Linked DNA regions of Mytilus edulis. The protein of the gene in region 1 binds, or shares a complex with, the protein of each later gene. Links are inferred from orthologs where the notes say so. Each region holds a gene or a part of one and is shown in the gene's direction. Other genes may lie near its edges. The genes, in order: WD repeat-containing and planar cell polarity effector protein fritz homolog and protein fuzzy homolog.

Region 1 (3,931 bases):
TAAGTCATCTGTAACATGTGATAAATTAAACTTTTCTTTTAGAGAGTCAAAATCTTTAATAATTTTAGAGTGAAAACTATTGTGATTTATGTCACAGTTATTCAATTTTTTATAAAACTGGATGAAATCTTCTTGTGGTAAAGATTCATTTTCTTTGTTATTACTTTTTTGATACTTAATTTATTCAAGATGTTCCAAAACATCTTTGGGTCTTTCTCACATGTATAAAGTTCTGAAAATATATCTTTTTTGTATTTATTTTCTTCATATTTACATAGACGTCTAAGTCTAGATCTGAAAGAATAAAATTTATGTCTGTATTCAGAATTATAGGGATGTTTATTAACTAACTTTGCATAATTTTTTACTGTAACGCCAAGTTCACGGCAAGATTCAGAGTACCAAGGTCGTCTTTTTGACCTATTTTGATTTTTATTTCTGACTGGGACTTTCTTTACTAGTTTTGCAGACTTCAAAGCATTTTCATATAGTATATTATTAAATGAATTTACTGCTGATTCAGAGTCTTTAAAAGTTGATTTTATATGTCTCTGGCATTAGTGATAACAAAATTTGAAAAATAAAAATTATTTTCCTTTTCCCGCTCATTCAATTTTGTTTTTAATCTATTTATAAAGAAAAATAATTAAATCCGATACTGTTATAGTAGTCTCAGTGATTAGGTGGTGATATATTATAAGTTATCTACGTTCATATCCGTAGATTTGCAGATGGTTCACTTTTGGAGTATTTTATGCTTAAAAACATTCTGGCAGAAATACTGATATTTTCCAAAATAAGGAAAGCCCTCTACACCCCTGAATATAAGTCCGACAAACGCTATGACTATGTGGAATGAATGACAACAAATCGGACCAATATGTTACAAACAATATAATATGTCTGTAACATTCCGATCGGTCCCGGTTTAAGTTAACTATGTTTTAGCATAATCTCAAGGTTATCTCCCTTGTAGCAAAGGAAAACAAAGTTGAAAGAATTTGAAAGAATGCAAAATTACATTTAGGTTCGACTTATGGTATAATTTTTAAAAATTAAGACAGTCGGATATAAACGGATACAGGACTTATATTTATGCTGTTCATGAACCTATGAAAAATTCATTGACTTTTTTGGATAACATTTTGTCTTTTGATTGGTGAGTCTCAGACCACAGGGGCTTGTTACAATTGCCGGGTTTACTATCCATACGAACCCCTAAAACACAGATTCGACTCTCAAATTCCTCCAAAAAAATCTGGAAGTTATAAAACTCAACGAGGGATAAATGCAAATTTAATTAGCCACATTATTTTTTCCTATGAGAACGATCAAATCCACAATTTTAGTTTTGACACTTCACATTATTGAATGTTGATATATTATTTTTATGGCCCCGCAAAGAAGTTGTCAGTGCCATATAGTTTTACCCTTGACCGTAATTCTGAAATTACGTAATTCTGTCATTACACAACAAACCATTATATACAGAGTTTTTTTCTAAACGCCTTCAGATATTGGGCTGAATTTCGATATGTAAGTTAACCATGATGAGGTACAGATCAAGTTTAAGTTTCGTTCCACTCCACTAATTTTTCAAAAAAAATTACGGGCTTTGGACTTTGATAAGTTGGTGAAAATCACAGTTATACAGAGTTTTTTTTCTAAACGCCTTCAGATATTGAGCTGATTTTTGATACAGAACTGAACAGAACAGAACATATTTTATTTCCAATTTAGGGCCCACAAGGGGCATACAGAGCATACATGAATAAGGAAAAAGAATATTGATTTGCATAGATACATAGATACAAACAATTTTTTACATACAGTTACAATACAATTACTAACTCATATTTATTAATTATCACATGGTGATATGTGAGTTAACCATGATGAGTTACAGATCAAGTGTAAGTTTTGTTCCGCTCTGCTAATTTTTCAAAAAAAATTACAGGCTTTGGACTTTGAAAAAATGTTGAAAATCACAGTTATAGAGACTTTTTTTCTTAATGCTTTCAGATATTGGGATGATTTTTGGCATGTAAGTTAACCAAGATGAGTTACAGATCAAGTTCAAGTTTTGTTTTGCTCGGCTAATTTTTGCCGAAACTACAGGCTATGGACTTTGATAAATTGTTGAAAATCACGGTTATACAAACTTTTTTTCTACATGTTCTAAATGCTTTCAGATATTTGGTACGTGAGTTATCCATGATGAGTTACAGATCAAGTTAAAGTTTCATTCCGCTATGCTAATTTTTGCTGTAAAATTTGTGGCTTTGGACTTTTATATATATTTGAAAATCACAGTTATACAGACCTTTTTAGCGGGACAAGTGAGCTTATGCCATCACTTGGTGTCCGTCGTCGTCCGTCGTCTGTCGTCGTCTGTCGTTGTAAACTATTTCAAGAATCTTCTCCTCTGAAACTACTGGGCCAAATACTTTCAAACTTTAACTGAATGTTCCTTAGGGTATCTTATTTATAAATTGTATCCGAAGTTTTGATCTATCAACAAACATGGTCGCCATTGCTAAAAATAGAACATAGGGGTCAAATGCAGTTTTTGGCTTATAACTCAAAAACCAAAGCATTTAGAGCAAATCTGACAGGGGTAATATTGTTTATCAGGTCAAGATCTATCTGCCCTGAAATTTTCAGATGAATCAGACAACCCGTTGTTGGGTTGCTGCCCCTGAATTGGTAATTTTAAGGAAATTTTGCTGTTTTTGGTTATTATCTTGAATATTATTATAGATAGAGATAAACTGTAAATAGGAATAATGTTCAGCAAAGTAAGATTTACAAATAAGTCAACATGACGGAAATGGTCAGTTGACCCCTTTAGGAGTTATTGCCCTTTATAGTCAATTTTTAACCATTTTTCGTAAATCTTAGTAATCTTTTACAAAAATCTTCTCCTCTGAAACTACTGGGCCAAATACTTCCAAACTTTAACTGAATGTTCCTTAGGGTATCTAGTTTGTAAATTGTATCCGAAGTTGTGATCTATCAACAAACATGGTCGCCATGGCTAAAAATAGAACATAGGGGTCAAATGCAGTTTTTGGCTTATAACTCAAAAACCAAAGCATTTAGAGCAAATCTGACATGGGGTAATATTGTTTATCAGGTCAAGATCTATCTGCCCTGAAATTTTCAGATGAATCAGACAACCTGTTGTTGGGTTACTGCCCCTGAATTGGTAATTTTAAAGAAATTTTGCTGTTTTTGGTTATTATCTTGAATATTATTATAGATAGAGATAAACTGTAACAGCAATAATGTTCAGCAAAGTAAGATTTACAAATAAGTCAACATGACGGAAATGGTCAGTTGACCCCTTTAGGAGTTATTGCCCTTTATAGTCAATTTTTAACCATTTTTGTAAATCTTAGTAATCTTTTACAAAAATCTTCTCCTCTGAAACTACTGGGCCAAATACTTCCAAACTTTAACTGAATGTTCCTTAGGTTATCTAGTTTGTAAATTGTATCCGAAGTTATGATCTATCAACAAACATAGTCGCCATTGCTAAAAATAGAACATAGGGGTCAAATGCAGTTTTTGGCTTATAACTCAAAAACCAAAGCATTTAGAGCAAATCTGACGTGGGTAAAATTGTTTATCAGGTCAAGATCTATCTGCCCTGAAATTTTCAGATGAATCAGACAACCTGTTGTTGGGTTGCTGCCCCTGAATTGATAATTTTAAGGAAATTTTGCTGTTTTTGTTTATTATCTTGAATATAATTATAGATAGAAATAAACTGTAAACAGCAATAATGTTCAGCAAAGTAAGATCTTCAATTAAGTCAATTTGACGGAAATTGTCAATTGACCCCTTAAGGAGTTATTGCCCTTTAAAGACTTTTTTTCACAATTTGTTCATCATGTTGACTTACTTTAAAAAATCTTCTCCTTTGAAA
Region 2 (3,931 bases), on another chromosome or scaffold:
CAAAATATATTGTCTCATTTCAAAGACACAGTTTATGCATACTTTACAATGGTATAATTGTATATTTCAAAAGAACTATAATCATGTTGACACTAATCTAACAAATTTAATCAATGTGATCAGCATGGTTTCCAAATTTTTAAAATAGTTGTGAAAAAAAAAGAAGTTTCAAAGTTAAATATATTATCTTTTTCACTTTTTCACTTACCTTTAGAAGTACAAAAACTTTGATGCTGCCTTTTTGATGCGAGCTGTTTCACTTGATGTTCTTTACTATTGACTTCAGTTACTCTTCTTATAACCTAATGAAATAGACAGAGGAATTAATTTAACAATCATATCATTTGAACCAAATTTAAATTGAATTGAATTTTCATTTTTTTTGTTTGAAAAAAAATTATGTTTTGTAGCTTTAAAATTAAATGACATATTTCCTAATCATGCTAATAATGATTTTCATACATTTTATTTACAATAATATAATAAAGCTATAAGATCTATAAAATTAGTTTCTTAAAATTGCTGTATTTTGGATATTTTACAGCCTCCAGTAGAACAGAGAAGATATAGGTTCTAAACGGTGTTTAACAAGGACTTCAGTTGTTTAAAAGTATTTCAAATAGTTCATGTTTATAAACAATAATATAAAACTTGTGTCAGGGATCCCAACTTGTTAATAATCTAAACAAAAATTGTTATATCACTTTTCTTTTAATCTTTTAAAGCTAAATAAATCATTCAATCTAAAAGTCATATAAGTTTGACATTGAGTGCCTTGATGTGACATTAGAAATTGTCAACTGAATATTTCTTTTCAATCTTTTATTAGAATTCTGTATCAAAATTAAATCAATCATGAGAATAACCAATGTGTTTTTAAACGGATGTAATACATTTTATGGTTAAGAATTGGTCCATTTGGAAGTTTTCCATGAATAAATTAAGGAGAATGACTAATGAAGAAACACAAAGAAACATTAAGTCACATCTTTGTCATTCTGAACCAATATCATAGCTAAGCAATACACAAATAACTTTCTGAATGTCTAATTACTTTTGTCAATAAATGGTTATCTTCGTGAAAATTCAATTGACTTTGAAAATACTTTGAACCAAAGTAAGATGAAGTTGTTAAATTAAATTTTGTTGGCACTGCTTTTGTGAAGGACCTATTAATTGAGAGAAAATCGATCGATACTTCGGCTTAAATTTCTTTGTTATTGAACTGAGTAAATATAGTATACACACTGATGACTAATAATAAACGGCGCGTAATTTCTTTGTCTCTCAATAAAAGTATAATATTGTTTATCAACACAAACTGTCATTAATAAAAACTACTGTAATTGCTGTATAAACAAATTACATAATGTGTGAAAACATTTGTAACAGCTTGGGTCAAAAGATTACAAGTCGTGTGGCCAATACAGTGAAAACAATGAGTAACGGCAGATTGGCGTTGCGGGCACGTGCTCCAATAAACAAGCAATAATGAAGATCCTGATCGATAAAATTCCTTTACATTACCAGGGACGAACCTAACATGAAACATGACTTACCTGTCATTAAGTGTGCCTGTTGTCATCAAGTAAAACTTACCATATACTGAACCGAAAATTTGACAGATGCTGTTTACAGCTTCTTCATCGCCATGCTATTTACCCATCATTCTAAAGTTGTGGTAAGTAAGCGCATGCGTATGTTAAACTTACATCGAAATGGCGACCTACATTTTATGTTTGACAACAGGAGGAGGAGTTCCTCTATTTACCCGAATGTCAGCCAGTTTAAAGCCTGTAGGTTATAAAAATACATATAATTTTGAATTATTGACTATGCATTCAGTCAATATAAACTGTAGCGTTAGTGTTTGAGTGTTTTTGCCGGGCTTGTGTCCAGCATAGACACGAGGCCGACGAGGTTGGGCCTTTGCGTTTGATTTCGGTGGTTTCGACTAAAATCAGTTTATATAAAACACAGTTTGTAGAAACAACGTCTCGGAACATTCAACCATCTTCTTAATATTTATTTTTGATGAAAACCGAACACGAATTGATTTTTTGACAAAAAGTTGTGATTTATATTTGAAGTTCCCACTGAAAAAAAAATATGAAAATGTGCTCACATGTGGTGAAAGGGAGCTTACTCTTCTTTCTTCTTTTGTTACAGAAAACCATCAACGTACTGATGTTTACTTTCCGGCGCATGCCTGGTAAATGTTTTTTAATAAATTTATGTTGATAATTTTTCTCAAAATATAAATTAACAAAATATTTCTTATTCAAAGTTGTTTTTGGTCATATATTTTCGTATTTTCAATTTTTACAATTTTTCTTTGTTTTTAATTTATACAATTTTTTTATTTAGTTTTTAAATATTACATTTTTTATTTTTAGTTTTTTGGTATAAGATAAAAACAAGAGTATCTGTTTATTTCAGATGAGGGTAAGTATCAAGGAGCACGTCGTGTGTGAGTGCATCCTTGAAGTTTTCTGTAGTACTGTTTTTGGTAATTTCAGGTGTTAGTTTGTTCCAGTCTTTGATGGTTTGACAGAAGAAAGAAAATTTATAGCTGTCTTTATTGCAATGAATTTGTCTGTAGGATTCTTTATTGGTGGATCTTGTAGTAGACTGACTCTGTTGTAATACATTTTGCGATGGAATGGCTATCTTTTCATTTACAATTTTGTGGAACATTATAAGCCTTGTTCGTAGTCGGCGTTCTTGTAATGTTTGCCATTTCATGGTATCTAGCATCTCAGACACACTGCTGGTGTTGTGATGTCTATTGCACACATACCTTGCTGCCCGTCTTTGTACTTTTTCCAGTGATTTTATATTTTCGTTTGTAAATGGGTCCCATACAGTACAACAGTATTCCAACTTTGGTCTTATGAGTGTTTGGTATGCTCTTTCTTTAATTGTTTGCGATTGGACTTTAAGGTTTCTTCTGATGAAACCTAAGGATTTATTTGCTTTTGCAGCAGTTTGTTGGATGTGGGTGTTCCATTTTAGGTCTGCTGAGATGGTGATGCCTAAGTATTTTGCATGTTTTACAGGTTCTAAGATGTGTCCATACATGTTATAATAAAAGTGGATGGGATTTCTTTTTGTTGTTATATTCATGATGTTACACTTGTCTGGATGGAAAGACATAAGCCAATCTTTTTCCCATTGTATGGCAGCTTCTACATGTAGGTCTTCTTGAAGCTTGAGGCAGTCGTTTTGAGTTTTAATTTGTCGGTAGATTATACTGTCATCTGCAAAGAGTCTGATTTTGCTATGTTGGATGTAATCTGGGAGGTCATTTATGTAAATTAAGAATAGTATCGGTCCTAGCACTGTACCCTGTGGGACTCCTGATGAGACTGGTATTTTTGAAGATGACATGTTTTCTAAAAGTACTGTTTGTGTTCTGTTTGAAAGAAAGGAGTCTACCCAGTTAATGATTTGATCTGATATGCCAAAGTATTTCATTTTGTATAGTAATCTTTTGTGTGGTACCTTGTCGAAAGCTTTAGCAAAATCCATGATAATAAGATCTGTTTGTATGTTCTTGTCGTTGTTTTGGAATAATTCATGTATCAGTGAGATGATTTGTGATTCACATGATCGTTTTGCCCTAAATCCATGTTGTAATTCATATAGAGTGTTGTTTGTTTCTAAGTGGTTCATCATGCTGCTTGCAAAGATATGTTCGAGTAGTTTACAAGCTATGCATGTTAAGGATATAGGCCTATAGTTGCCTGTGTTGTGTTTATCCCCTTTTTTGAATACAGGTGTGACATTTGCGTGGTTCCAGTCAGATGGTACTTTGCCTGTTTGTAGTGATCTTGTAAATATTAAAGTGAGGATATCTGTACATATTTCGATGTTTTGTTTTAGTACTTTGCCTGCGATGGTGTCAGGACCAGTTGCTTTATTCGGGTTT

The links.
Region 2: the proteins of WD repeat-containing and planar cell polarity effector protein fritz homolog (region 1) and protein fuzzy homolog are in contact, whole or in part, in a cryo-EM structure (PDB 7Q3D), measured with the Homo sapiens proteins. The link is inferred for Mytilus edulis from reciprocal best matches to the Homo sapiens genes WDPCP and FUZ. Residues at the interface, in NP_056994.3 of Homo sapiens: Arg55, Ile57, Asn75, Lys78, Leu82, Glu418, Asp419, Arg420, Leu421; in NP_079405.2 of Homo sapiens: His293, Glu372, Glu373, Pro374, Arg379, Gln397, Pro399, Thr400, His401, Gly402, Ser405, Leu406.

Annotation. Positions count from the first base shown.
Region 1 is NC_092346.1:82,339,263-82,343,193, forward strand, and holds the start of WD repeat-containing and planar cell polarity effector protein fritz homolog, read left to right. Parts: upstream 1-940; 5' UTR 941-1,039; exon of another isoform or gene 1,040-1,159; intron 1,160-3,931. UniProt on the Homo sapiens protein: Probable effector of the planar cell polarity signaling pathway which regulates the septin cytoskeleton in both ciliogenesis and collective cell movements.
Region 2 is NC_092350.1:12,397,741-12,401,671, forward strand, and holds the start of protein fuzzy homolog, read left to right. Parts: upstream 1-1,688; 5' UTR 1,689-1,718; coding exon 1,719-1,796; intron 1,797-3,931. UniProt on the Homo sapiens protein: Probable planar cell polarity effector involved in cilium biogenesis. May regulate protein and membrane transport to the cilium.